Struthio camelus: one gene and its partners. The protein of the gene in region 4 interacts with the protein of the main gene of each other region in a pairwise test. Links are inferred from orthologs where the notes say so. Each region holds a gene or a part of one and is shown on either strand. Other genes may lie near its edges. The genes, in order: ZBTB16, SYTL5, AKAP17A and CEP70.

Region 1 (7,722 bases), on a different chromosome or scaffold from region 4:
GCCGGCGGCAGCGCAGAGCCGGGCCGGGCGCCGCCGCCGCTGCCGCGCCCCGGCCCGACGGCACCGGCGGAGCGGGCGCCCGCGGGGGGCAACGTCCATCAGGTGGCGGGGGCGCCCCCCGCCCCGCTGCGCGCCCCGCGGCCCCGCTCCGCTGCGCTCCGCGCTGCGCGCACTCACGGCGGGCGGCTGCTGCGGCAGTTCGCACTGCCCGCTCTCATCGCCGCCGCCGCCGCCGGCCGCGCCGCGCAGCAAATCACCGCGGCGCCGGCCCCGCGGGCCGCCCCGCGCCCACGTCAGGCCGCCCCCGGCCCGCCCCCGGCCCCGGCCCCGCCGCCGCCGCCCCCGCCGCCCGCTCCATCTTGACTGCTGGCGCCGCCGCCCCGGCCCGCCCCGGCCCGCCCCGACGGGGCCCCGCGCAGCGCCGCCCGCCCGCCGCCGCCGCCGCCGCGGGGCCGCGCAGCCGGGGCGGGGGGGCGGCGGCTGCTGCTGGACAGCGCTCCGCTCCGCCGGCCTCTGCCAACAACAAACATGGAGGCGGCGGCGGCAGCCAATGAAGCGGCGCCGGCGGCGCGGCCCCCCCGGCCGCCACCTGCAGCCCCCGCCGCGCCGTCGGGGCCGCGCCGCCCCCGGGCGCAGGCAGGCAGGCAGGGCGGCCCCCCCCCTCCGCCCCCCCCCCCCCCAAAACAGCCGCTGCCCTCCGCGAACTCCGCGCCTCGGCCCCGGGCGCAGCGCTGCCGCCGCCGCTGAAGGGCTGCGGACGGTGACACCGGGGGGGGGACGGGGACGGGGGGCGCACGTCGGCTCCGTGCAGCGCGTTTGGTAAAAACAAAGACAGGGCGAAGCAGCTGGCCGCCCCCGGCCCGGGCAGGCAGGTGCCGGAGCCTCAGGAGCAGCGCGGAAAGCGCGGCGCGGTTTGCTGCCGCGGCCCCTAGCAGCGAGCGCAGCCAGGAGGCAGCGCGGACGGACAGCCGCCGCCGCCCAGCCCGGGCCGCCCCACGTCCCCACCACCGCCCCACAACGGCATTAGTACAAAGATACCCTTGGGGGGGTAAAGCGGTGCGAACGCAAGCGGCAGAGAATGTTACAGGGAAGTGTGTTTATAATTATAATGGGATTTAATGTACTTTGGGACCAGCTGATAGAGGTCATTTAACAAGAACAGCCTAATCACAGAGGCCTTATAATGAAAGGCGACAGCGCTGAGGTTATTAGATAAGTATTATAATGTAGCATTCGCAGTAGTATAGTTAAGGATAAGGCATCAGCCACCCCCATTTTCCAGGGGTTATAACTCTGCCATTTTAATCGGCAGAAAGCTAAAATTTGGAGTGCCATCAGTCAGCATGAGCGCTGGGTTTTTTTTTTCCTTTTTAATTGCTTAAAACTGCTCGAGTTCCCCCCCCACACACACTTTTAACTCAAAATGAATGGGAGTGGAGAACAGCAAGACAGTGTGGTTTCAGGTGTTTGTTTACCCTCCTCTAACTTTTAAAAGGCTTGATTTCAGAACTGAAATTTTGCAGACAGTTAGGGGTATGTTTTTAGTGTAGCTTGCATGAAATTAAGCTGCATGAGTCCCATTAGCAATAATGGAAATCCCACGGCTAAATTCCCATGCAGCATGCTGAAAATTAACCCCCCAGTCCTTGCTGCGAACTGGTGCATTGCACTTTTTGTTGCTGTTTTAATATATATAATAAAAGCTACCGAGTTGTTTAAGAGACTCGCTTCCTACAGCTACTTTTTTCCCCAGAAAGTATTGGATTGTTGACCCTGAAAGCAGAAATCCTGCCTTTATCCACTGACTAGGTGCATCTTAGGTAGTGATGTGCCTAAATCCTTCAGGGGTTTCAAGCTGTGCCGCAGTGTTTACTGCAGTGGCTCCCGGAGACCCTAGGCAGAATCAAGCCTCTGTTTTACTGTAGGCTGAAAAAATGTGAACTGACTTCGGTTATTCATATGCCTTTTTGTTTTTTGTTTTTTTTCCCTGCTTGCATTGCAATACCATGTAAGAATCTTTAGTTCTAGACATTGCACAAACAGTGCAAAAAAGATGGTGTCCCCCCGCAGAAGAGGGGCAGAAGAGCTGGTCAGAAGCTCTCACCAGAACGTCCTTCTAAAAATCCAAATTTGTCAGTGTATTGCACTCACGGCGTTAAGCCGAGATGACTCAATAGTGGAGAGTTTCCTGCAGCTCAGCCCCCAATAAACTACCACCGCTGAGCACGGTTCAAAACTCACCTGTCTGCCTGCAGCTGGACTTAGAAAAAGCCGAGTCCCCCTCAAACTACCACCGCGGTCTCTCTCCCTGCCCCTCCAGCCAGGCCACCTGGGCTCTGCACACGCTCACCACGGCCAAGAGCCGAGTTGCTTTCCTTGCCTCGACTGTTGAGGCGACAAGTTAATTGAGGCCCCAACCAACTGCTACTTACTCCTTAGAGGTTAAGTAGGAGTTTCAGGGAGTACTAGCACGAGTACTAGTTCCATCAGCTTTCTGCAATACACCAGCCAAGCGCATCTTTGACAACGCCAGAAACAGCTTTTCCCCTCAGAAAGCACACGATTTAGGAGGAGTTGCCCCTGTTTCCTTCCATATGCTTGCAGCCCTCCACGCTCCTGCGCGCACATGGAGCTGGGAAACCCCTTACTAGCCACAAGGCAGAGAGAGTATGAAAAGTATAAAACAGGAAAGAGCCAAAAACTCTTGTCCACAACCTTAAACATCATCGCACTCTCTCCCAGCAAGGCCCCACACTGACAGCGTAGAGGAAACATTAAAAAAATGCAAATTCCTCACTGCACCAGCTCCAGCAAGCATGCTCAAGGCACCTATACCCTCGCTTACAGCAGGTGACTGACTTCCTGTGGAAAAAGAAAGGTCCAACCGCGGAAAGTTCACCCGTCTAAGAGGAGGAACAAACGCGACCACTTGCCTTGGTGTCCCTGCCCTGGAGGGCAGCAGAAACGCAAGGAGCCACCTCCTGCCAGGTTCACGCACCGGACGTGCCGCCTCCAACCTCCTCGCCAGGCTGCAAGTGCTGCGGCTGGGGCAGGGGCGGGAACAGGAGCACCCCCAGGCAGGGCCCCCGCTGCCCCCAGGTGGGCCCCGTAAGGAGGCGGCAGCACCGCCCCAGCCTCCCGCAGCTGGTGCAAAGGGCAGAGCCCAGGCGCTGCCCAGGAGAAATCACCCTCACAAACGGCAGCCTTGGCCCCCGCGGTGGTGTCCCAGCACCCAGCGCGGGAGTTACGGGCTAGTACCCCCAGCAGGGCCCCCCCAGCATATTCCATTTCACTCTCATCTCTCCCCATCAGTTTCCAATTTATCTGCTGTTCTGAAGTTAATCCTCACCTTGTAGTGTGACGTGTTTATTACAGAAGAACCAGCACACTAAACGAAGCCAAGCTGGGTTTCTCCTGTTAAATAGCAGTCACGCCCAAGCGGCTCTCCATGTGCCATTACTCCAAGTGATTGAGGCAATTTCTTCCTCTGCCATGAGTTTAAGTTGTAAATCTCTCAACCAGATACAGAGGCAATGATGTGCTGCCTATTGTGATTATTATTAACCTTTAGCATTAAACTTGTGAGACTTGCACGACGCCTAGAAGCTCTTCACGGGACAGCCACACGTAGCGTAGCGTGCGGGTCCGCATGCGCATCCCTCCCAGGAAACGGAGCGATCGCCGCACAGTAACTTTTTCTCCCGAGTTATTCGTGTATTTTGGATGGGGAGACACAGACATTCACTTTCTTAACATAAATAGCATGGTAAGTGTTTGCAGGCAGACAGAAAGATAAGATTTGCAAACGAAACATGTGCCAAGTTGATGGCCTCTAAGTATTTCAAGGGATAAGGGAAGGCGGTTCCTTGGGCTGCTCCTTGGGCACTCAGCTAGGCATACAGGGACGAAAAGGAGAGGTTAGCCCTGGAGAAAAGGCTTTAGACGCACAAGGTCGTTCCACAGAATTTTCCCAAAACTGCAGCAGAAAAGGGAGTTCCTTGTTTGGGATATGTAGCCCAGCACTCAGGTCTGAAAGCCGCCGGGGAGCGGGGCGCGCTCGGGCTGCCTCGGCTCCGTCAGCCCGCGGCTGCTCCTTCCCCTCCAGCGCGGGGACGGCCCGCGCAGGCGCAGGCTCCTTGCCCCCGCTCTCCACCCCAGAGACGATGACACGACTCCTTATGACTTCTTCAGCCTGCTGAGCCCTACAACGCTTTGGGATGAAGTAAGCCCAACTCCTACAGCTGCACTTTGCTGCGATTTCTTTTACGTCCCCCCCAATACAAGCGAGCAGCTTGGCCTGCCCTAGCTCTGCTCCTGCGCCAAACCGGCGAGGGGGCACCCGCGTCGCACGCAAGCTGCAGAAACGTTAACTTCCCCGCGCTCAGACTAGCGCATTTTGGTATGGGTACCGTTGTGTTCCCTTAGCTGTGGCGGGTTCGGGCAGTTTCCTGGTCTCGCTGCTGTGCGGCCCAATGCTCTAACAGTGGAACGAGGATTTTCGGTGTACCTTAGCGATTTGGGGGCAGGGTGGGAAAGAGCAGCCGTTTTAACCTAAATCATAAAAATCCATGACTTGGGCCATCCCTTTTAAAAGCTGATTTGCGACATTACTCCCAACTCTGGGCGAAGGTTTCAACATGCAAACGCTCGTGCGTAAGCGCACGCGCGACAAGCGCCTGCCCTAGCGCTGTTAGGCACGTCCAGTTCGCTCTGCGACTGAGAGCAGTTCGGCGCTCTGCTGCATATAAGACACACTGACAGGTCATGAAAGAGATGATTAAATGTGCTAGACTTCATTTAAAAAAGAACGCGTCAAGCCGTTTGCGAGGAGGAGCGGGGAGAAGCGCCACGGGCCGGCAGCTCGGGGTGCAGCCCCGGCGCGGCGCTGATCGGCCCCGCGCGCGCCGTGGCCGCACGCGGGAGGAGGGAGTCGTGAGCAGCCCTTCATCGTGCCACCGGCTGCCGTGCCAAGGCAACCGAGAGGGCGCAGCTGCTTTGGGGGACTTTGGGGGCGGCACGATGGTTGGTTGTTTGAAATCCGGGCTCCTTTAAGGAGCATCGCAGCAGAGCAAGAAGCTGGGACCCGAAGTCAGCGCAGCTCAGGCCTTGCCGTGACATTTAGGCTGCAAGCACCTCTGAGTCACACCTAAGCTAGCCCAAAAACCGTGGCTGGCAGCGTTTGCTGCGCAGCGGCGAGGGCTGCGAAAGGCTACAGCGGTGCAATTGCATCAAAAGAGTGAATTAAATTCCCTGCTGGATTTTAAGAACGATGGCTTTTGAGATACCAAGTACCCCCGAAAGGAAACGAGAAACTGCCGTTCCTCCCTCGTAGGCTTTGGCACGCACACGATCGTTTCCAAGGCTTGCAGTTTCCCTGCCCTTTCGCCGTTCCTCCCCCTTGGCCCAGGTTACGCGCGCTGGGAAGCCCGTAAGACAATAAGGCTAATTAGTGGCTTACGGCCCTAAGCCTGCAAACAGCGCGAGCCGGCGGCGAGCTGCGACTGCGGCGGGAGCCGGCGGCGGCCAGCCCGCCTGCATTCCACCCCAAATCCCGGCACAAAGGGGATTTATCCACCGTGACTCAGCGAAGGAGCACAAACTTTACAGCGCTGCAAAACAGGCAGCCAGGCTTTGAACTGGTGTGTTTGTTATATATTGCCCCACCGCCACCACCGCCGCACAGCCTGGTTAGTAATTAAATAAAAATGTCTCCCTCTAGCAGGCGATGACCTAATCATTTGTACAGTACCTATTTTTAGCATTACCCTTTGTATGCATTCAAGACAGCTCGAGCCAGAAGCAGCAACTTCTGAAGCGTTAATAAGCTGGGGTGTGGGGACACTTTGTTTAATTTACTGTGCAATTATTTTTCCTCTTCTCCCCTTCTTTTAACCTAAAATATTTGACATCTCGCACGGGACGGGAAGGAAGATGTGCCAGGACTCTAAATGCCGGCCCGAACCGCACGGCGCCGAGGCGGTCGCGCGTGCGCTGGGTAAATTTCATCCCCCCAAACCCAGGACAGACAAGAGGAGGCCCCAGCACGGCAGTCCGCGGGGGCCGGCCTCATCCTCGGCAATATTAGACCATCTCATTCGAGAGATGCGTTTCTGGATGGTATCCTCCCTTTCCTCTGTGCCCCCGCCCTCGCTTCGGCTTTCCCTGCTCTCCAGAGCGGACATAGCGCTGGGGAAGGGCGATAGTTTCCCTGCAGCACACCAATAATGCTGGCTTTCCCCCAGAACCAGGGTACAGGGCGGTAACTCCCTAAGGGGATGTTCATTCCCCACCGGGCTCGTGCCCAGCTTTGGATACCAACAAGAATTGCAAACTAGTTCTGCAATTCTCATGCTTTCCTGAGCGTGTGATATTAATATATCCTTAACATATTTCTTCAGCTCCTTGCTGCCTTGAAGCAGCGCAGTTCTAGAGCCTCAACGACGCTGGAGCGTAGACCTCGCTTTGGAAAGTGAGTCAGGAACATAACTGGCATTAGCCATCCCATTGGGGAAAAAAAAAAAAAAAGTAAATCTGTATGCTATTTGGATGCTTTTGGCTCAGTTTCATGCTGGAAGGAGCAAGGTGCGTGTGGAGCTCCTGGCCCCAAGCGAACACCTTTACCCCCAGTTCATCCTTCCTCTCCAGCAAGGGCAAAGCTCCGAATCCCATTTCCAGTTGCATGAGTCATCTGTTCCCCTTTTGAAACACGTGTCTGCCAGTGCGCGCGTGTGTATGTGTAGAAGAGGTATTACTATTTTTGACAGTGCAAACAGGCTACAGTTGTGGAAGGTTTTCTCCTCCCCTCCTCTTTTTTCGCATGTGTGTGTGCTAAAGATGCACACAGAGTCCCCACACAGCTGGGGAAGCTTCTGTCCAAGCGGCTCCTCCTCCTTGTCGACTGATCTCCCGCACCAGGAAAAACCTAGGCGACCGAATCTCACACACACACACACACACACACACACAAACCTAGGCAGTTTCTAAAACATTCTGGCAGCCTTACGGAGGTATTTGCATCTCGAAGGAAATCCCCGTTCCTCTCTGCAGCCGTTCCTAACGCCCCTCTGCAAGCCACAGAACGCCAGGACTTACAAGAGAGTCGGAATAAAGTCTGCAGCCAAAAGTCAGTCTAGATCCAAAGTTACATATTAACAGATTTTATTTTCTTAATAATTGCCAGAAGATACAATAAACCCCGGGTATCTTATCTGCTTAGAAATTCCTAAGTGACTGAAACCTCAGATAACACTTGGATATCAAGACAGTTTGCAAACTACCCTTTTTAAGGGAGATATTTATGAATCCCTTGTGAAGGCTGGAAGAAATTTGTGCATTCCACATCGGTCACAACATATTTGCCCACCAGCGCGAATCCCACAGACGCACTTGGCGGCGTGTTCCGGCAGCTGGGTCAGCGCTGGGGCTGGCGGGACGGCGCTGCGGTGCCCTTGGCCCATAGGCCTGCCGTGCGGGAGGCAGGGTGGCACGCTCTGCTGTACCGAACACGTTCCCTGCCGGAATGACTCGGTCAGCCTCCAATGAATGACAGTCAACAGGCTCACAAAGCTTTTCCTGGATAAGAGCTATCTTCTGAGGGCCAGAGTTGCAAAAGTCGTCATGCAAGCCGCTAAGGCCGCAGATAGCTCCAGATAGAAGGGCCGGCAATCTAGGCAGCTGACACGGCTTTCAACGGCAGCTGGGTGCATCGCCCCGGCTCCAGAA
Region 2 (7,087 bases), on a different chromosome or scaffold from region 4:
ACCCTTAAGACCATCTGCTGGGCATATACATCAATTATAAGATTGGTTTCTGCTTACACGTATTTTTGAATAATACTACGCAATTATTTTCCAAACGATGAACTCTGCCACATTTGTATTTTTTACGTATATAAGCATGGGTCTTTAGTATAGAAAGATAGAAGAACTACTCTAAAGATCCAAAAGAAATAGGCATTTTCAGCTTCCTATGCCTATGCCCAAAATACTGTCCTACTACCACTCTTGGACTCCAAAGCAAGCAGTTTTTCAAGCTTATTCTTCCTGCCATTCTTAACTACTCCACTGTCTTATGTTTCCAGGCTCTGGTAGAATACATCAGTTTCTTCATCCTTGGTCTCAAGAAAGTTTAATTGGAAGGCAGAGTAAACTTAGGCAAGGCAACAGCAATAAAGAACTGGGAAACAAAGTGCTCAGGCACTTAGCAAACCTGCACTGCAGCTGTCCTCAGCCCTTCACTCCATCAGCAGATTCTCTTCCTTCCCCTCCAGAGCAGAACATCTCACTAACAAAGAGCAGTTAATCATCAGATAGGAAATTCACCTCTGTATTGATAAGGAGACTTGGAAGAGAGAGAGAGAGAGCACTACGTAGAAGTGAAATGTCTTGTAGATATGCAAACCTGTAGATGACTATGATTTGCTGTTCATGCTGCAAGTTATTTAATAAGATCATTTATACCTGCTGTTTTTCCACTCTGAGAATACAGGGCTAACACAAGGATTTTTTACAACAAGCTTTGAATAAATAAAGAATCATTCATTCATCCCAAAGAACTTAAGATTTCAACTACCATGAAATCTATAAAAGCAAAAATATGCTGATAATTATCTCTTAAGGGTACACATAGCATAGAAGAAAGCTTAGAAATGTTAATGTATTAAATTACTTAAAGTGTGCTTAAACATACTAATACAGTGTGGATATCATATACCCCTATCTCCAGCCACACCTACCACATACCTCAAACCTGTACTCAGATGTATGAACAGGAATTCTCATCGCAACTGTCACCTTCCAAAGCTCCAACTCAATCTCTTGGATGCAAAACAGAAGCATGGAGCCCCGATTGCATTCTGGGGATAATTTATAAGAGAAATACACAGGAAAACATACAGCCAAAGGCTAATCAGCAAGGTCATCAAGTCTTTTTACGTCAAGAAAGTTGGGGGAGCCAAGGGAAGGAAGGTGAGCATACCCAAAGTGTGCCTCCTGAGATGACATAGCTTTCCTGACTATATGTCTAAAAGAGACAAGCTCCATTGTGTTCACCTGCTCCATCCTCTGCTACACACAGCTCACAAGATTTCCCCATACTAAAGTTCCGTCAAAAATAGAGACCTTGCTTTAGAAAAACATCCTTGGTTTAAAGCTGCACAATGCTGATAAAAAAAAATCAAAATACTTATTAATCTAATAAGTGCTCTTATTGTTAAAAAACTGCCCTCTCTATAGTCTCAGCCCTTCCAACTTCAAATTTCCACACTGGATCTTGTTAAATCTTTTCTAGCTCAACTTAAGAGCCCGCTCTTCCTACCCTGACATTTCTAGACAAAGATCCAATCACTGCTGTAATTCTTTTGATTTTGTTCAAGAAAACACGTTCTCTGACAGACTGTACAGCAAGCGGCTTTTAAACCTTTGAATTATTGGGGTGGCTGTGAGCACAGAAATCTCTTGCCTAAAGTGCAAACAGCAAAACAGTAACACTTGCACACCTCACAGCTAATTTTCCTGCTCCTGCTTGCTGCTCCTCTGTCTGCTTAGCTTCACCTAAGTGGCTCATCCCTGGCTGACTGCCCATGAAATTCCCTAAGTCTTTCCAAAATCACCAACCCTGGGGCGCAACCTTCTAACTCACTGTTCTTAGTGATACGACTTCACACTTAGTTATGCTGAAATGCATACTGGATATCTGCACTCAGTAACTACCAAGTAACCCAGACTTCTCTATAATCACTTATAAGTGGTTCTCCCTCTCCACTATCTAATCCTCCTGGTTGCTATATTTTAATACTTAGGTTATGTATTATTATCCATAATAACAAACAAATAACGTTTTTCAAGTCAAAAACCTGGAAGAAAACATTAGCTAGCACAAGCCTTCGAGCTATCTCCACCTCAGTGCCACTGAGCCTCTCACCTGCCCAGCCTCAAGAAGGACAATTAATGGCCCGTTCCTCACTGTCCCCCTCTGCAGAACAGTAACTGCAGATCGCTTCACTGACAGTAAGGTCCACCACCTCCAATTCTCACAGCAATGTAGGCTAACAAACATTTAAACAAAAAAATCACGCAAACACCTCCCGCCAGGTTAGTAATGCTGTAAGTACCTGCTTTACTTGCAGGAGGAAGCCAAGTGAGGGCAGCCCACCCCTCCCCACGGAAGGTGCCCCTGGAGAGCCCCGGCACAGGGGACCTGGGGGGCGCTTTCCACCAAGGCTCCCCCCCGCCTTCATTCCGCAGGCTCCGTCTTCCTCTACTCACGGAAAACAGCTGCATTTTCTATTAAGAAAGAGGGACTTACCAGGAACCTCGGGAGGAGAAGAAAAAAAACAAAAAATACGTATTTTTTTGAGATATATATATAGGTATATTTTGTCGGCATGCCCGCTGCTGCCGAGGCAGCTAAGGACTGCTGATGTCAACTCTGTAATTCAATGGAGCTGGGAGGTAAAGTACTACTCCAGCCTCCTCGGGATTCAGCTCCTGGCTCACGTAGGCAGCACACACGATATACACACACACACACGCTGCACGCACACACGGACTGCTCGGACGCCCGCAGGTGCACGCTCGCAGCAGCACACCTCACCCCCTCCCTACTCCCCGCCTCCCCCGGCTGTACCGCTCTCCGCCTGCAGCGGGCAGGGGCTCCTCGCAGAAGCAGCAGCAGCCCCGGCTGAAGTGTGCTTGCATTGCAGCCGGGAAGGGCTGGAGCCGAGCGAGGGGCTGGCTCACGACAAAGCCATCCCCATACCCCGGGAGAGGGGCCGGCTCTGCCCCACAGGAGCTGGCCTCGCCATCCCCGAGGAGGGAGGGGAGTCGGCAGCCAGCCCCGCCGCCACGGCAGGTCCTCCCTCACCTCTCCAGCTGCTGCTGGACCAGCCCCAGCCGCAGCTCCCGAGCGGCCCCTTCCGGCGCCCGCCGTGCTGCCCGCGCCGCCGCAGCCACCGCCCCGCAGCGCCCCTGTCCGGCGGGAAACGCTGCGGCGGGCAGCGGACCAGGGGTTGGGAGGTTAGGGGGTGCGAGCCGGGCGCGCCATGTTCGCGGCGGCCGTCCCGCCGCTAAGGGGTGCGGGCGGAGCAGCTGCCGGAGCGAACCTGCGCGCGGCGGGTAGCAGCTGCCCCTCGCGAAATGGCGGCGGGGGCCGCTCCCGCTGCGCCCTCGCGCGGCGGGCAGGGACTGCCCCGCTGCCCCTCGCGAAATGGCGGCGGGGGCCGCTCCCGCTGCGCCCTCGCGCGGCGGGCAGGGACTGCCCCGCTGCCCCGCTGCCCCTCGCGAAATGGCGGCGGGGGCCGCTCCCGCTGCGCCCTCGCGCGGCAGGCAGAGGCTGCCCGAAATGGCCGCTCCCGCCCTGCCATTTGGTAAGAGCCGTCTCAGCCCACCAGACCGCTTGCTGCTTTGTGTTTAACGTTCTCCAGCCATTGGGAAGCTGTAGCTGCATCCATGGTGTGCGCTGGATGAGGGAAGAGTCCAAAGGGTAGAGCGGTATGTAATAAACATCCTAAATGAATCAAGTGAATCATCATCTACCCTCCCAGGCATCTTCAACGCACCTGAAGAGCTCACGTAGCAAGCATCTAAAAAGATAAGGAAATTAATTTAGCACTTATATATATGGCCTAACATTTTAAAGTACAGTTCTGAAACTGTTACAGTAGACAGAGGTAGGCCACATGAAAATACTTAACACAGATTTTTTTCCACAGCAGTAACTGACTTGAAAGAGGGTAAAAATTTTATCGGTTTCAAAAAATTCTGATAGATGCAACCAAAACTTCCTGCTGTGCTTTCAGATGAACAATTCTAGCATAAAAATGGCATCTTATGCACAATACTCAGGTTATCTTCATATTTCTAGTGTCACATTTATTTTTAAGAAACTATAGTGCATGTCTTATTCCAAATGATGCATATGCTGGGAAGCTTAATCTTAAGAGATGCAATGTCTACTTAATAACTATATGAATACAACTCCTTTGGAAACTAATGTGAGTTAGCTGAATGTTATATTCATGACAGCATCCTTTCACTTGCTCATGAAAAGCTATTGGATGGATCTGCTCTAAATTAAATCCTGTAATTATCAGAATATAACACTGGTCTCTATAACACTGAAAACTGCTGTATCAAAAAAGATGCACAGTTAAATATATTCTGTAATGGCATGATTTAACCTATTAAAACATTAAAATATTAAAACTATTAAAATATTTTAAAATATTAAAACATAAAGTTCAGAGTTATATGATTTTTATAGCTTCATTTCATCGATGTTGGTTAGGGATTTAGTGAAAAGAAGGGCTAACAATCGTTTGCACAGCAGCCTGATAGCTCAGATACACCATTACCAACCTGAATACCCAAACACAAGAAGAATTTCCGAGAAATAGCACAAACTTTCTGTGTTTCTTTTGGTATAGAAAGCAGCTACTCATAAAGGCTGGAGAACCATATTATTCTGCCTCACCCAAATCCATGTTTATTATTAAGTGCCATCTGTGATCCGTAACAGACCGTAAGAACTAAGAGTATTGTAAGTCATGATTACAGAACTCTGTAGCCTTTTTAGAAGGAAGGTAAAGTATTCTCACTATTATTTCATTGATGGCTGGGATCTCAGTTGCTAACACTTGCATCATTGTGAAGAATTACCCCACTACAGTCCCTAGCTGCAGCCTTCTTCAAGCTAGAAAGCTTTATTAAGAATGAATCCTCGTATTCATGGCCCATTTCCAGAGTGCTATAGCAACACTTTTGTCCTCTGGGACAAGGTTTCCAATAGATTTTTCTGTCTGGAAAAGCAACTGCTAACTCCGCACACCAAAAATCAATATAGAGTTCAGTGTTTCTTGATGTCCTCGTCCACGCAGACACAATGTCCTCCAAACTCAAAGAAGAACTTGCACAAATTACAGAGTTCAGTTCAGCAACATTAATGAACAAAACCTGCTAGTCCTTGCTTTTTTTTCAGTCAGCATTATCGAGTGCTCTGGAAGCGCTCTGCATGTCTCTCTGCCCTAATCTATCAGTAATATATCAGACAACTAGGCTATTGCAGCAACTTGCTAAATAAAGAGGTTTGTGAGTAAGAATTCATGCATCATGAAATAGGTAAGAGAGTTTCTCAGAAATACCCACAGTTGTTAGCATCAAGAGCTACTGTGGGATAACTATTTACATTTGACTCCTAAATAACACAAGTGCTAGGGGTAGAATTGGAAGACACAGTCTTAAAGGAAAGCTTCCTCAGGAAAGTTGAAACATGCAAGTTCTCGATCGTCCACTTGAGTACTGCCCAGGCTACTTACAAGAAGTACAATTGCATCTTCAATGAGAAGAGAGGATTATGCCTTTTACTAATCCTTATTGCTCAAGGTTTTGACCTTTTGCATGGTGGAGGTCTTCATAAAAAACAGACATTTCAGCAATGCCTTCAGACTGTTGGAAAATTGTGGAAGCTACTTCTACTGAAGTGTCCTATTTCTGCCTAGTTTTTTCAATGGTTTCAGATGCATTCCACATTTTAAAGGATGGACTTTTTGGCATTTCTGGAAAAAGGGTTCCTCCTTGAGTTTTATTGCAGCTTGTGGCACTTGTGTGCTTCTCTCCACTGCTAATGAAAATGTGTGTGTGTGGGGGGGGGGAGATGTCAGATTTTTTTTTTTGAAAAAAAAACTGTTATAGTACACTAATGAAAAATGGGGCAAAATAACATCTCAAGAAGAAAGACAGAAATTGCTGCAGAAGCAATAGTGTCACTATGTTTCCTTAAACCATTCATCAATCTGCTCAGCATTCCTTCTTGAAAGAAAAGAGATTTATTCAATGTTATTAAGCAGTATCCAATAAATTTATTAAAAGATACATATTTTTAAATTCACAAGACACTGTTACTTCATAATTCCTGTTTGGTCAGTGTGTAATATATAAGGTTGGAAAGAAGTCTACATAACCCCTTAGCATATGGTGTCTTCAACACACATCGTAAATGTTAGTGAGATGACTGCTGCCAAGTAGCCATGTGATCTCGACCCGCCAGCTTTTCCTAGGGCTGGGATTTTGTTTATGCAACAATAGTATTGGGCTGCAAGTCGGATTCTTGTCCCAGAGTTTATTCACCTCACCTTTGCTACTTTTGTGACACAAAAAGAAGAGGTTTGCTTATTATGTACCCAAGAAACTTACCTCAGAGAGAAAAATGAAGTCATTTTTTAAGTTTCAGTTATTCTTTGGCTCCTTAGCTACTCTTCCTCTGCATACTGAACAAATGATGTCAAAAGTTATAATGTACCCTGTCCTTTTTAAAGGAAAAGCTAAAAGCAGAGTTACAGATACAGCAAATGCCAGTAACCCGTTTGTGCTTCTTTTTCTCCCATTATAAAACTAGGAATCGGTTTACTTGCCCCTGCTTTTCTTTAGTACATTTGAAACAGACAAAAAAAGTGGGAATACAATTACGAGTGTTTCACTGTGCTATGTTAAGCCAGTATTTGAATTACTGCCTACAGTGAACTCCTGCAAGCTAAGGGAATGGTCCTACAGCCCTCATTACTGAGTGCACTATTTATTCACACAACTGTTTTAGTGTCAGTTATAGCATTCTTTGCACAAGCAAGAACTATGCAAAATGAGTAAAAGCTGGAGAATGAAGTCCTGCATGAAAAAATGTTGAATTAATGTGCAAGTGCCATATGTTTTAAAGATATTCAGAAGTGTTCCTTGAGGCAACAGTGAAGGAACTGTCAAAAGAATTTGAAAATATGTGAACACCTGTGAAGCATAAACTGGTAGCATAACATCTAATTTCATCCTAAAGGTATCAAGATTTTTCTTGGAATTATTT
Region 3 (7,858 bases), on a different chromosome or scaffold from region 4:
ACAAACCATGGGGTGCAAGGCAAAGAGTAAGTACTCCACAATTTATTTCATTCCGACTGTATGTAAAACGATGTTCCACTAGCAGGTTAAAAGGATGGACAGAGAGAAGCAGAGTTGGAAAGGTCAGAGCACTGTAACTATGTATGAAGGAGATCTGTCCTGATAGCACAGTTGCAAACATTGCCCTCTCCCTTTCCTATTCAATCCCCAGGGCAGCTGCCAGGAAAGCATTCCTCCTCCTGCATGGACAAACTAAATTTGGGAACCCTGATCCAGTGTATGTAAGTGACAGTCTGAATTTCACAACCCCTGGAAAATAAAAAAGTTAAGGTCTAAAGAGTTTCTATGCTCCAACTGACAAGCTTTGTAACAAGATTATAGTATTCTACTTAATAAAATAAAACTTAAATAAGTATTTACATGTTCCCGTATTACAAAAACGAATAGTCAAGCTTTTTCCTGAAATACACATCCTGATTTGATGAATGACTATGAAGTCCACTGAAATAAGTAAGCAAACATTTCACTCAACTGATACATAACTGGATGGACAAACTCCAAGTATATCAGAGCAGTCGTCCTTAGGCCATACTTTCATTGACATTACATCAGAAGAGGACGCGTTGTCCTCTCCTGCCATAGTTCTGTTTTCTAAGACAATGAGGTTGCACAAAAAGAAAAGATCTGGAAATCTTGGTATGTAAATATTATGAATTCAACATACTGGATTCACAGGAAATTGTGCTACAGTTTAACATGTACTTTTTTTTTTTTTTTTTAAGGCCTTTCCGTACGTGAAGTACACTAACCATGATCAATTGGTGCATTCCACAGGTCTTATAGGTCACAGACTATTAAATTTCAGAATCCTGACACTTGTCTGGTAGACCTCATTGTCAGTGTAGGAGGCTGTGAATTTCTCCCCCAAAAATTCCATTTGTGGTGTACACAAGAGGACATTTCATTTAAGTCAACCTTCTAGCGAAATATGTCTGAACTTGTTCAGAATTATAATTTTTAAGAGAAATGACAATATTTATAGATATGTATTAATTTTCAAAAATCACAAATCATGAACAAGTCATACTCATGTATTTGGTCCTTCCATTGAGAAAAAGGAAAAAAACCCCACCCATTCTGTGCCTAACATAACACATTTTTCTTCTTTCTATCATTTTCCTTTCAACATTCTATTACAGCTAGTCCACAGGATTTTAGTGGCATCTGTTCTTTAACATGGGTTATTATACAAGAGCCTGTAGTTCTCACCTTTATATTGCAAGCCACTGCTTTGCCATCATCGCCTTTGTACATCAGCTTCATCCCTCGCAGGGCATTCATGGCCTTAATGAAACCTGCATATTCCCGATATTGAACATAGGCTTCAAAGTTTAAATGGCCTCCAAAACTAAAAGTGTGGAAATTTCTGCCAGTCATTTCTTCTCTATAAGGGTCCAGCATAGGTATGTCCACATTACGTATTTCTCCAAATTTCTTGAAAACTTTTATGAGAACTTCCTCACTTGGCTTTTCTGAGCCAGAATCCTTTGCTGCAAACCATTTACAAGGTAAGCCTTCCAAATGAATAGTATCTGGTCTTTCCCCTGGCAAAGTTTCATTCATATCTTTTGCATCACGAAAAAAAGAGTCCCAGTCATGTCTGGTGGGAAAGTCAATCTTATACTCTGCAGCACGGACTTTCAAAATGTCAGAGAAGCCACTCAGCTTTATTGTTTTGCCATCAAGGCATGCCAGAAAAGACTTCACCAAACTTTTGTTTTCAACCTCTCCTTCAAACCGGATGAAATCCATTGTGCTTTTAGAAATCCGCAGAGTAGAAAACTGATGAGTTTGCACCATACCTTTCAATCTTTCCATAACTTCCCAGTTTGAAATGGATTTTCCTGGTTGTTTCAGCTGAGGAAGTGCCACACTGATGGTCATTTTTGTAATGGGCTTAAGATATAACCCACAGGGAGCACAGAGCTCTACAGCTTCTGATGTATCATGAACTATTGTTGCAGCAGCCATAACACAGAAAAAGCATAGGATAAAAAGAATAAAGATGAAAGTTTAAGTTGTAGGCCAAAAAATGTCAAATAAAATAGCCCTTATGCATAAAGAATTGAACTCCTTGGACATTTAATCACTCCCAAGTAAAACCAATGTCTCTTAATATAAAAGTCAATTAGAGAGTTAAAATCAAGTAACACAAGCATCTTAAATTACTTTATAACCACCTGAGCCCATAAACAACTAAATCTCAGTAAGGCCTCAGAAAAAACAAGACGCTGAGGACAATCTAGGAATAAATGAAGTTGGTATGCGATGGCTCAGAAAGCAGCTACCCTTTTTTCAGGAAGAAAGGAACAGGAGGAGTGATGTCACACGGCTTCGAAGTCTACTTAACAACACATAAACCACAGCAGATTAGCACTGAGGACAGACTCCACGCTCTCCACTCTAAAGACTCATAGGGTATCTGCAATGAGAGAAGAACACTGCTTTTTTTTTTTTTTTTTTTTTTTTTCTCCTCCCCCCCCTCCAGCCAGAAGCCTCCTCGCCCTCCGGTTACCGCAGAGCAGCCTGAGCGGCACGGCGAGGCTGGGAGCCCTCCAGCCCGCGCTACCAGCCAAACGGCAGCGAGTGACCCCTGCGTGCGGGCCGCACGTCCGGCTGCGCAACGAGCCGCCTGCGGGCGCGGGGGGGGGGGGGGGAGCCGCGGCCTTCCCCGCTGGCCGGCCCGGCCCGCCGCTGCCCCCTCCCTTGCCGGTTTCCCAGGGCACAGTGAGGCCTCTCCACCCACCACCACCACCACCACCACCACCACCACCACCCGCACGGGGAGACTCACCGCGCCCGCCTCGGCGCCGCCTCACCGCAGCCGGCCCGGCGCGGCGCGGCGGACTCCCACCCCCAGCAAACGGCCGCCCACCGCGCACCCGTCCCTTCCGCGCCCCCCACCGCCACCGCGCGCCGCTAGGCCCGCTTCCGCTTCCGCGTCGGCCGGGGGTGGGGGGGGTTAGCGGGGGAGGCGTCCTGGCCGGCAAAGGGGAGGGGCGGAGCCGCTCTCTATGGTAGCGCCGGGGCCGCGGCTCCAGCGGGCGACACCAGGCGGCGGGGAGGGGAGGCCGGCGGGCGGGCGGGAGGGCCGCGGCGCAGGCGCAGTTGCGCGGCTTGCGGGGCCCTAAAACTCCCCCGCAAGCGTCAGTTTTGTGTGAAGGCTGGTAGGAACTGCGTTTCTGCTCCGTTGCCCAGTTGCCTAGAAAGTGGGTCGTGGCCTGCTTGGTGTTTCTGTTTGGCCCTCTCTGACCTCATTTTCTCTCTGTGGCCCTGCTGGCAATGACAGCGTCACGGCCTGTTTTCTGTTCGCGCTGGAAACTTGCCGGCAAAGTGACTCCACTAGTTTCTAGTGAAAAGCAGGCCCTTGCTTCTTGCTCTCCCTGTCAGGCGTGCGCTGCGCAGCAGCGTTGGCCTGCCTGCGCTCGGTGCGTGCCAACAGGCCTGCTTTCCAAGAAGATCTTTCTCACCGTTTCCTTCTTACCTACTGGGAGATGAGAGGGCAGAAACCGAGCACCTTGCCGAGAGCAGTGCTGGGGCCTCCGGAGTCACTGTCTACCAAGGAAAATAGCCTCCCACACACTTCTGATAGTTTGTGCTTTTCTGGGAAAAAGAACCCAAACCCTGTATTTATAAACAATCTCACAAATCAACCAGACACAATTTAGTCGTATGAACATGGGTGCCTAATGCTATTTAAGATGCTGTAAGATACCCAAGTTATGTATATGGGGCTAAAAATTATCCTACATAATTACGAAAATAATTATAAAAATTGTTCGTGGAGGAAACCTGTCTATACTGGCAGCTGGAGGCTATGCTGACAACCTGCATGGCTGTAGGCACACATGTTTAGACAAGTGAATTGAGCTTCCAGTGTCATCGCAGGAGCTGTGGGGTCTGGGTCCTGCTGGGTCTCTGGCTGCTGCTCTAGGAGGCTGTGAGTCTCCTCAAATCCTGACGACGTCTCGGGTACCTTAGGGCACCTCAGTAGGCGCTAGGCCCATTTGCCAGGCAGCTGAATCCTGCCCCTAGGTCACAGGTGGACGTCTGCGTGTAGGCACCTGAGTGTAGAGGTCCTAGTCTTTAACTGCATCACGTCCTTGGTGTTCCCAATATTCAGGAATTTTTTTAACTGCCCGGCATGTACAGAGGGAAAGAGAGGGGAAAAAAGAACGGAAAATATATAAAGTATTGACAAGTGTTTATATAATTGTTCATTAGTAAATATATTCAAGGCATACCAAAATACCTGGTCTCTTGAATGTGCTCTCTTTCTTTCCTGGTCTTCAGTTTATATTAGTGAAAAAAGGTATTTAAGTTGCAGTAGTGAGGGCAGGGGACAGTTACTTCTTTCGTGCTTGTTTGATTTTTATGTCTGTTTTGCCCAAAATACAAATAGGCTGGCTGAACCTAAAATACAGGATTTTTATATGATCTTATACTATTTTGCAGATAATACAGAATATCAAAGCTTCCCACTATAGTTTTACCACTGGTGGTTTGCTCATACTTCAGTGTAAGTACGGGATGCAAAAGTTTCCAACTCTGCATAGGTCAGCACACATGCACAGGAGAAGGCTTGCCTCCATCTGCTCTGTCATCACCCTCCAATGATCGCATGTTCTTGACCCCGGTTTCAACACCGGCCCTATAATCACATGCCACCACCTACCTCTCTCGATTTCTTGCTGCATATCCCTAGCCCACAAGCCATTACTGCTTCCATCCTCCTGACCTCAGTCAGTGACTTACCCGTTCTCTCCACATCACCTGCTCCCCCTGCAGCATATGAAAGCAGGCACCCAGTCCCACCTTAGGTAAGCTCCCACAGGCTGAGAAACAGGGACTGCAGTTACCTGTGGCAGCAGACTGGTGATAACCACTGTATGGAAATAATGACTCTAAAGCATAGGTCAAAACACAACACAGGAAGTTACCACCAATCCAGCAGTCCTTGTGAGACCGCAGTTGTTGTATAGAAGTGTTATTTCACATCACGGATGTTGGTAACTGCCAACCCTCCTCTAATTTCTTGCACAGAAATATGCATTCCACGGTTTAGTTAAGTATTTGTACAAAGACAAAATCAGAAGCTGTTGCCACTGTACAACACCTTGAAATAGCTCATGTATGATAGTTGGAGAATACTTGCATCGTATGCTACGCTTTCTCTTAAAATCTTGAAAGTTCATTTGGGAGTGAACAAAGCAGTCACATTCCACGTAGTTTCAGTAGAAGTGGAGTGAGATGTTATGTAGGGCAACAGTTTTGAATCCTGTGCCTGAAAATTTACAAAATGATAGAATTAAGGTTACCCATGTTGTGCTACCAACCATAACCATAATATCTTTCACAGACTATTTTTCTGATATACTCTCGGCTGAAAGGAATGTTACAAATGTATTATCTAACACGGTAGGGGAAAGGAAAAAGGAATGTGATGTTATATTGAATAATATTGTAAAGGCTGTGGACAAGAAGAAACAGTTGAAATGCGCATTAGAAAGATATAAAAGATGTGGCAAGGGTAAACTTTCTGCCTGCACAAATACAATTAGTAGATGTGCATTTTTGTTTTGTTTGTTTTATAAACTATATTGAGATACCTAAGTGACTAAATGAAATGGTTCCTTTTGCGTTTCAGAAAATAGGTCACATATCACACATACCAGGAAGAGGAAGCATGAACAGGCAAGGTAAACATCAGTGACAGTATCCAAGCATAACAGTGCATTCAATCTGGTTGTCACTGTAACACATTCCATTTCCCCAACTGCAACAAATATATTGTGCTAGAGACCTGAAAAGTGACTTGTGTGTCTTGCTCAACTTCAACAAGTGGTCTAATAGCAGATAAGATTTCTACCTACAAACCTTGTCTGCTTGTATCTTTAGAAGTCACAACCACCACACTTTGAATCCCTTAAAAGTTCACTAGAGGGAGCCCTTGTTTTATCTATCTATCTATCTATCTATCTATCTATCTATCTATCTATCTATCTATATGCACAAAATCTATCTATACATGTATTCACAAACACAATTAAAATAGACTATAAACAGCAGATACTAAGTTTTGTATTCATGCCTTAATACACACTATTCTGCTTTTCTTACAAGAGGACACAATTCTCCTTACTGTGCGTGGTCTTATCTGTATACTTATTCCGCTGTTCATTCTGCACCATGCTCTTGCCTTTAATGATCATTTGTGGCAATGAATGCAAGAAGCTACATGTGTAATGCATTAAAGCAGCAGTGCTACTTCCATTCCTTCCTTGCTTCTTCCCCTCTGAAAAATACCAAAGAGGAGGAGCTCTTTTTAGCTTAAAACTTGGCTTTTTCTGTTTGAGACTGATTTGTCTCCAGTGATCATCTAAATCTTCTCTGCTGTATAAAGTCCATAAATACTCCTAGTATATTTCTTTTTAGAAACAGCTACAGTCCTTACCAGCCTTTGATTACTTTCAGTGTGATTTCTGTTTTCTGTTGTCACTTAACAGAGAACATCTCTTTGTTCTCTCTCCTACTGAAAAAAAAAACCAGAGTGATTCACTGTACCATCAAACTGTTTATGGATAGTAGCTGGAGGTGGATGCAGCAGCAGCACAGAAGACTTGGACCAATAGATTGCGTAATTCTTGAAAAGAGTAAAAATGATGTTTCCAGACATTAAATTGGCTCTACCCACAAAACAAAATTAAGCCCTGATGCCTTGAAGCCTCTAAGTGGGTAGAAGCATAGAATTGCAGCACATGATGCATTGTTTTATTTTCTATGGCAAGAAACAGTTCTATTTTTTTCACTTTGCTTCCATTATCTCTGCTCCTTTTTTTTTTTTTTTTTTTTTTGGTCTAACTGAATGCTATGTGTCAGTAAAAACTGTGCTTATGATTGTCTGCCTTGGGAAGAATACATGTCGTTAGAAGAATTGTGTGCTGACATGGGGCAATTTCAATTAATTGGAATTAAACATCACTTCCTGTAACTGGTCCTCTACAGACCTAATTGTTGTATTCTATTTAAATAAGTAGAATATGACTATATACAAAGATAATTCCATTCCCTCTTAATTCATCTGTACAACAAGGAATTCATCTTGTTAGCACAGACTAGGAGTATCCGATGCAGAGCGCGATAGTTCTACCAATTTACCTCAGTGCGCTGTGCTTACTGTCGCACTTAATGTTACACTTAATATAAATAACAAACAAAAAATCTACTTCTTGCTTTTGCCAAAGAGGAATTAGCATCTATAGCAGAACTGATTTATGAACTGTCTGGCTGAACTACAGCATGCAGTAGCCTGTAAAACATAAACATTAGATTCAAGCTATTAAGTCACGTTGTATTATACTTGCTAGCAAGATTTATGCTTTAAACAGTTCTAGTATTGTGATGTCAGATGCAGTACTGATTATTTCAATTTTTATACCGGTACTCATGTGAGATGCTTTCAAATACTGTTATTTCAGACTTCCATAGCTGTAACTTCAAATATAATTCCAGTTTTAAAAGATCAGGGTTCTTTTTGTCCTTTTTGCCTTACCTATTCAGAGGAAAATATTTGAGTCTGATTCAAATTAAGCAATTTGAAATTATATATTTCCCTCATAATATTACAGGTTGCGTACTAATACCAATCAAAAAAGAATCTGATCTTTTCATATGCAGTTTTTAAACCCAAAATTTTTCTTAGCAATCCATGAACTAAAATGCAAGAGCTGTTGGCCCATCTGTTTCTGGAGCAGAAAACAGCAACGGGTTAATACTGTTAATCTTCCATAGTAGTACA
Region 4 (7,625 bases):
CCAAATTCAGTGATTCCTCTTCTTGTTTAGTGAGGGCACAGTAAGAAACAGTCAGGCTGCACAGTCCCTTTGAAATTTGTTGCAGGTTAGTGTTACCAGCCAAAACTGGCAGACCCAGCCACACCAACACACTCAAGTGAGGGGCGTTTGAGGCCTAAGAATTGGCAAAGCTCTGATTTATAGTAGAAGTATGGAGACCTTATCATAAGAGACATAGAGTACTTCCAAAACCTTCACAGAAGTAACTGTAAAGCTTTACAGTAAGCCTGCAGTTAGCAGCTGCAAATACTACTTTTCACAACTGAAAGATTTTTGTTGTTTCTTTAAGATCACATTTAACAATACTAGAATCCCAGAATGAGATCACCCTGGTAGACGTTGGAGTTCCAGACTAAATAGTGCATCATTCTCTTTTCTTTGCTGACACCTTGTGTACAGTGGCTGTAATTTTCACTTTTCTCCAAGGATTTAAGCAGCTCACTTTTAATATACAGTAAAAGTTCATTGAACTCACATGCCTTTACAAGGCACAAGGATTCATATTTCAACTGGCACTCCTAAGGAACTCAGTTTTTAAAAAAATCAAAATATCAAAAACCATTATTTTAAAATGTGCTTCTTCATTTAATGTTACATCAGTATAACAGTGGAAGAAAATTGCTTACTGCTGATCCAGAAGAGACTTCGGAGCTCTTTTGCAAAACTGGCAAAACATTTTGTTTTGAGTGGCAACACGCTGCTGCTCCTCCATCCCAACCTTGTACAGCTCCCTCTGCAAACGGGCAATAGTCTCTTCCTGTTCTTGCAGCTTTTCCTGTTGCTGTTGGTATTTTGCCTGTGAAAAGGGAACGGGAGCATTCCGAAATTATTCTGACAAACAAGCTGGAGACAGTGCCATACATGCCCAAGTAGGCACTTGCTCCTAAGGAAGGTGAGTAGTTTTTTTCTAGCCATGCTGAAGAGACAGTGGAAGAAGGATGCATATGTTTTTCTAATCTATCATTAAAAAATTTCCATAGAGCTTGAAAAATCTTAGCTATAAACAGTGTAGTAACTCTTAAGACAAAAAGATTTGCATTTATTTTGACCAGTGTCACTATTTTTAAAGCTTTTAAATAAAAGTCAAAAGTTTGAGTCCTCAAACAGGTTTACCAGAATTACCTGTGAAATCTGCTGATCTTTTTGAAGTTCTTTGACCTGATTCTGTTGCTGGCAAACCTTAGCTATTGTCTCATCTTCCAGCTGGCAAATTTTGGATTTTATGTTCTTCACCACGTTTTCCAAATCATTAGCCCGTTGTTCTTGCCGGGATGCTCGACCTCGTTCCTGACGTACCTCATCTCTAACAAAAAGAAAAAAAAAACCACAATCCTTGATTTAGAATAAATTAACTTCACTAAATACAGTGAAGGAGACACAGGCCTAACAGATTTTAGCTGTTAACACTCAATAATGGGCCATGTGAGCAGGTATGGGAAATATTTTGCTATGGGAAGAAGCAGCAGATGAAATGATAGAAAAATGCAGAAGAAACCAGGCCAACATTGCCACTTTCCACAAAAATCCCAGGAAAAAGGTCTTGGGCCTCATGCGTGGCAGCAGCTCCACCTGGCAGAGAACGGACACTGACAATATTTTTGGCTTGCATTAGAAACAAGTTCCTACCACTGAGTCTTACCTGAGCTGGTGATTAGCCTCCATAAGCCCATGCATCATTTTCTGTTGTCGGTCCGTGTCTTCCAGCAGTGTTTGTAATGCACATCTTATCCCCAGAGAAGACTGATTGTCCAAGACAATCATATCTGGAAACATTCAAAATAAACAAAGTCACAGTGAAAGGCATTTGATAACTGGAGAAGACCACATCTCTGCTGGCACTTGCAAAAGACAGCTTTAAAGACGGTTTATGAACTTGGGCTTATATTTTCATATACAGAAACTTGTAAAAACAGCATGCCCTTACCTGATATACTTCTGCTGTTTCCTGGGGCAGCAAAGCTCACAGGTTTCAACCCATGGCGCATCAAAATTTTGTTTAAGTTTTCCCATTCTGCTTTCTCCTGCTGCGTTTGGGAGAAGGAGAGACAACAACCTGAATGCTGAAGATCAGCTTACGGTCTCCTATTTCTCCTAGCTGTGTACACGGTAGAAGATACCAAATGCCCCCATATCAAAAAACAACCACGGTTTGCTACAGGAGGGTTGAAAGACTTTCCAAGTATGATCTGCAAAAATATTAGGAAAAACACACTGGACAGTTTACAGATTATCCAGTTTTCCCGGTGAGTATTTTTAAATGCCTTTGCAAATGATCTGCAAACGATTAAAAGAAAAAAAATACTTTCTGGAAAAAATACATAAATATATACAAAATGAAAGGCACTCATCTCATACTAATATTTTAACGCGTACTCCAGGCGGCGGGGCCTGCTCCCCTCCCGTCCCGTCCCGTCCCGCCCCAGGGCCCCAGCACGGTGCAGCCAGCTGGCGGGTGGCGAGTTCTTCAGAGAAATACCTATCTGTAGGTGTGTGCGTGCGTGTATAATATATGTACATACATATATTTAACCTCAAAGTAGCATCAATCAACCAGACAAACAAACAGCTCAGGTTCATTACTGTACCTCCGTCATTGTGAGGGATTTCTGTTCAAATATGCAGAAAGAGCAGCCCGGGCCCTGATCTGAAGCTGCCTAGGGATGAACACGGGAGGGGGGAAAAAAGAAAGAAAGAAAGAAAAAGGGAAAGTCATCAGGCCTCGGGAAAGAGGACCGCCGAGAGGCGCGGCGGGGCGCACGGAGGCCGCGCCGCCGCCAGCAGCCGGCACTGGCGCTTCAGGCCGCCAGCAGCCGGCACTGGCGCTTCAGACCCCCACAGCCGCCCTCCCCGCCCGGCCCGCCGCCGCAACGGCTCCGAGAGGGCCGCGGGGCCGGCAGCGCGGCAGGAAGGCACCCAGCGGGAGGCGGCCGAGCGGCGCGGGCAGCCCACTACCGCCTCACGGCGCCGGCTCGGGGCGGGCTGCGGCTAACGGCCGCCGGCGGGGGGCGGGGCCGGGGCGCGCGCCGCGCCGCCATTTTGAGACGCTGAGAGCTGCGAAGGGAGGGGGAGACGGAGGTGGCGCCGGTGGGGGCTGCAGCGGCCGGAGCCCCGCGCAGGTAGGAGACAGCGCTGGGGATGGGGGCGGCCGGGGCCGGGGCCGGGGCTCTCCTGTCCAGCCCGCGGAGGCGTTGCGGTCACCTCGCTGCCCGACGCTGGGAGGCGGCGGCGGGGGGTGTTTTGGCCGCGGCGCGGCCGGGCTGAGGGAGCGGCGCCTTGGAGACCGCTCGGCAGCGGCGGGGCGGGAAGGGGGGCGGGGGGGGAAGCGGTTTCCCCGGCCTGGCGGCTGCTGGAGCGGCCTCCAAGGCCCTACAGCGCTAAGTGCCGCCTGGCAGCGGCCAGAGCTAGGGTGGGGGGGTTTGCTTTGCCCGGAGTCCCAGGGACTGATTCAAGGCAGTAAGTAATTTTTCTTATTTTCCCTTTTTTTTTTTTTTTTTTTTTTTGCGGGCCGGTTCTGCGGTAGAGGTTTTCTTAGTCAGTCAGCGTCTCCTGCGTGCTGCTCTCACTTTATGCTCCATGGGTATTGCCCATCCTCTAGATAGGGTGAAGCTGACCTAGAGACTGGGTTTTGTGCCCAGATTTGATTCGAAAAGCGTGTTACGAAGTGATTGGGGGAGGAGACTGTGTAGTTTCCGTTATTTTGTAGCCTTTTCAATATTGATGCTAAATTAGCTGCTAAACTTCATAGGGCCGGGTTGCATGCCACCGCAGGGGATGCAGGGTCTGCGAGCAGGCTGGAAACGTGCTCCGGTTCCACCTCTTTGGCACTTTTTGTAACTTGAGGTCGCTGCTGTGTTGATAAGATGGTCGAGGCAGGCGGCGTAAGTCTGTCCTGAGCCAGTAAGAGTCTCTTTCTCTTTTTTTAATCCTTAGAAAGGAGGTGCAGAAATAATAACCGTTTCCCAACTTCCCTGATGCTCCAGAGGATAAGAATCTTTATGGAAACCAAACTGTAAACTTCAAAAGCAACAAAAAGACCCCCTTGTTGTCATTATTAGTTGACATACACAACTCACAAATGGGAGAATTAAATCCTTATATTCTTAAAAATGAACTCACAGTCTTTGGAACTTACTTTGCAGTTCACGAGCAGAAATTTGTAGGGTTGCTGAGGAAAAAGATAATAAACAGTAATATAGCAATGCTATTGAGCTTGCTTTAGAGCAGAAACAAGTTACACTGAAGGAGGCCTAATGTTAAATGCATTAACTATTATGCTCAAGAGAGATCCTAGAACTCATGACTTGACTTTAATTCATTTTTTCAAGGAAAAGTACCATTTATTTACCAAAAATGAGTTATTTGCATTGAATGAAATTATACCTATTGGTAGCTACTTTGGATTAGAGCAATAGGCCATGTGTTGGAAGAAAAATAGAGTACAGTATTCTTATGCTTTTATGTTCCACCGGCTTAAATGATTCTCTGACAACTGGGAGGTCTGTTACAGCTTATGTGATTAACAGTACAGTTTAAAAGACAGCTTTTAATGAAAATAGATCCTACACAAACTATTGTGTTTAATGAAAAGGATAAGGATTAAAAACAGGTTAGCAGTGTTGTAGGAACACATAAATCACTACTTCTTACTTAGAAGGCTTTTTGATGGTGCTTGCATTGTTTATTTCTGGTAAATACAGATTTTTATGGTTGAATTGCCAGGTCAAATTGCTACCATGACTATTGAAAACTGCTACAGTGGTTTAGCAAAGCTATTAAGTCGAAATTGTTGAGTCTGGCTCTGGTGCTTATGTTTAGAGGTCTGAGACAAGAACAAGGCTTCCACTTCACTCAGGATTTGAATATTGCACTGACTGTGGACCATAAGGACTCCTGCATCCTGTCTGCTCTCCCAAGCAGTATTTGATATCCTCTTCTCGGGCACTATTTCATTTTGCCTCTAGTGGCAATGGTCTCCGGTGTGTTACAGTTGGTGACTGAGCTGTGAAGTTCTGGATTTGGTTCCTGTTTTGGTCAGGTCCGTTTCAAAACTTTCTCTCGTAAATCGGGCAAAGTACTTTTCATCAAATACATGACAAAGCTAGGCTGTGCTAATAAAGTTAGGAAAAATCGCCCATACTAATTTTGTAAAGTAATACTTCCAAATAAACTTGTATTTGCCTTTTTGTCTAAGAGGAAAAAAATCACATATATGAATAATACATGATAGTTCATCACACTTTTTTAAAAAGATCTATAATCTTAAATGGAGAAAACTAGGAAAATCTAGTTCTCAATGCTTCTCTATTGCTATTCAGCTTTTCTTTTTTTCTTGCTGCTAATTGGATTAAGAGCTGTTTTGATTACTATGGCATCCTGTGAGGAGATTACTGTCGGTGAAGATGAACTAAGGTAAAAAACAGAACTGCAGCATGAACAGGTTTGAAAAGATATCCACAATTTCAGCAGTCACTTAAGAGTTTACCTGAGTTTTAAAAACCACTTAAAGAAAGGATATCTCAACATCTCTTCCCCCCATTGGAAGGAGGGAGGGGTAATATGTATGTGCATGCACAGTTGCATTTCTGAATGATGTAGGTAATATTTATGAAAAAGGTTACAGACAAATTTTTTAATAGCTAAACTGGTCACCCTAACTAGTTTGCAAGTTTAAAAGGCTAAAACACTTTAACAGACCAGTTAGCGTACTGTATTAGTGACTGCCAAGAAATCACAGAACTGTCCATAAGCATCTGGAATGTAAGTGTAGTTTTTTAACTTTGTTGTCATCTGCCTTGGAAGTTTTAGAGGTTAGATGGATGTATGTTCTTGTATGGTATTAGTCAAAGTGAACCTGTTTACCTGTCTTTGTGCTTATTTTTTGTGACAAGTTTTATCATATTTGAATGTTTGGTTTTTTTTAAGAAAATAAAAAAATTGGTTACATTTATTCTTTCAGATCTCACTTTTTCATTGGTAAAAGGTGACTTGCTATAAAGTAGTAAAGCTTTCAACTACATTCAGCAATATTTGAACTCTCTCAACCACAATTAATGTACTTTGTTGGTGTTTCTGTAGGTCCCGGTACAGCCATTTAGAGAAGATGACAGATCTGGTGGCCGTTTGGGAAGTAGCTTTAAGTGATGGTGTTCATAAGATTGAATTTGAACATGGGACCACGTCAGGAAAACGTGTTGTCTATGTTGATGGAAAGGTGAAATTACTATATGCTCAAAATTCACTATGATACAGACTGTGTAAGTGTGCTTCCATGCAGAATGCATCAGAACAAACAAAAGACTAATAAATGCAAGTGAGATGTATTTGGTTGACTAACTTTACGTAATCTAATAGACTACATAATTCTCTTCTCAGTTACAATTAAGGTGTGAGTCTTCATGAAGTGCTTTGCAGTCCTTGGGCAGAGGCACTCTGTACATGCAAAATATTATGAATTCGTACATACTGAAATAATAGTTAAGTACTGGGCTGTTGCCCAAGTTCTAGTTCAAAATGTCTCAATCCTGAGACATATTCAGGTTTATTAATTAATACCCATTGTCTTTGGCTTTTTTTCCTACAGGAAGAAATAAGAAAAGAATGGATGTTTAAATTGGTGGGTAAAGAAACGTTTACTGTTGGAGCAGCTAAAACAAAAGCTACTATTAACATTGATGCAGTCAGTGGCTTTGCGTATGAATATACGTTGGATATCAATGGGAAAAGCCTCAAGAAGTATATGGAGAACAGGTCAAAAACAACTAATACTTGGGTACTGAGTTTGGATGGCATGGAGTATAGAGTTGTTCTAGGTAAGTAAATATTGACTTCATGTTGTTGCCTTTGAATAAACTTGTGTGCATTTAATAACTGGCAGATAAGAGAAGGTATAGTTCAGGCTAGCACTGTTGCAGTGCAAAATCCTGGGTAGTCTGGAAACACTTAATTAGATGCTAAAGACAACGATCTGAAAAAATAAGGGTCTGGTTACATCTTTCCTCTTTCGTCCCCCTTTCCCAAAAATACTACAAGCAGATGGGCAGAAGGAAGCTACTGGGAAATTTGTGTCCATTGCATCTAGTAGGGGAAGCTTCTTGGGTGTTGCTGCAAGGTTAGAGCCAGAGATGAGATCAGGGACTATGTTTTTTTTTTTTTTTTTCTCCTTTATTAAACGTAAGGACAGAATGAATATCCTAAGATCAAATAAGACTGGGGGGGGGCAATCTTAATATATGACAGAGCCTGCAGCCTGCTTGGTTTTCCTCACAGTTTTAGTCTCCTTGTATTTAATTAAAAGGCGAGCAGGGTTCAGCTCTCTAATCATTGCCAGTGGAGGGCAGTGTCAGTAATGTGAATTCTAGAGCTAATGAACTTAAGAAGGTTGTACTGGGAAAAATAAAATAATACTGTTTGAAACAGTACAATTTTAAGATTCTTCATATTATGGTATGGATGGAACTTGAGTTTTCAAGGAGATCTTAAGAACTCTGAAACTTTGTGGATATTAAGTAAAGCTGCTCTTTACTTAAACATACCTCAAAGAAGTTAAAATTGGGATTTGATTGAATAAACACTCCTTAAATAATTGG

The links.
Region 1: the proteins of CEP70 (region 4) and ZBTB16 interact in binary tests that used the Homo sapiens proteins (3 or more experiments, as listed by UniProt). The two-hybrid records come from large-scale screens. The link is inferred for Struthio camelus from reciprocal best matches to the Homo sapiens genes CEP70 and ZBTB16.
Region 2: the proteins of CEP70 (region 4) and SYTL5 interact in binary tests that used the Homo sapiens proteins (3 or more experiments, as listed by UniProt). The two-hybrid records come from large-scale screens. The link is inferred for Struthio camelus from reciprocal best matches to the Homo sapiens genes CEP70 and SYTL5.
Region 3: the proteins of CEP70 (region 4) and AKAP17A interact in binary tests that used the Homo sapiens proteins (3 or more experiments, as listed by UniProt). The two-hybrid records come from large-scale screens. The link is inferred for Struthio camelus from reciprocal best matches to the Homo sapiens genes CEP70 and AKAP17A.

What each region holds. Positions count from the first base shown.
Region 1 is NC_090963.1:637,256-644,977, forward strand, and holds the start of ZBTB16 (zinc finger and BTB domain-containing protein 16), read right to left. Parts: upstream 3,018-7,722; 5' UTR 2,934-3,017; intron 306-2,933; exon of another isoform or gene 178-305; intron 1-177. UniProt on the Homo sapiens protein: Acts as a transcriptional repressor. Transcriptional repression may be mediated through recruitment of histone deacetylases to target promoters. May play a role in myeloid maturation and in the development and/or maintenance of other differentiated tissues.
Region 2 is NC_090942.1:129,200,622-129,207,708, forward strand, and holds the start of SYTL5 (synaptotagmin-like protein 5), read right to left. Parts: upstream 3,013-7,087; 5' UTR 2,867-3,012; intron 2,791-2,866; exon of another isoform or gene 2,546-2,790; intron 1-2,545. UniProt on the Homo sapiens protein: May act as Rab effector protein and play a role in vesicle trafficking. Binds phospholipids.
Region 3 is NC_090942.1:147,316,758-147,324,615, forward strand, and holds the start of AKAP17A (A-kinase anchor protein 17A), read right to left. Parts: upstream 3,010-7,858; 5' UTR 2,943-3,009; exon of another isoform or gene 2,855-2,942; intron 2,483-2,854; 5' UTR 2,032-2,482; coding exon 1,270-2,031; intron 1-1,269. UniProt on the Homo sapiens protein: Splice factor regulating alternative splice site selection for certain mRNA precursors. Mediates regulation of pre-mRNA splicing in a PKA-dependent manner.
Region 4 is NC_090947.1:35,546,673-35,554,297, reverse strand, and holds the start of CEP70 (centrosomal protein of 70 kDa), read right to left. Parts: upstream 3,016-7,625; 5' UTR 2,634-3,015; coding exon 2,625-2,633; intron 2,064-2,624; coding exon 1,964-2,063; intron 1,803-1,963; coding exon 1,679-1,802; intron 1,343-1,678; coding exon 1,162-1,342; intron 836-1,161; coding exon 666-835; intron 1-665. Other genes in the region: FAIM (fas apoptotic inhibitory molecule 1), read left to right, coding at 5,405-5,448, 6,115-6,250, 6,620-6,848.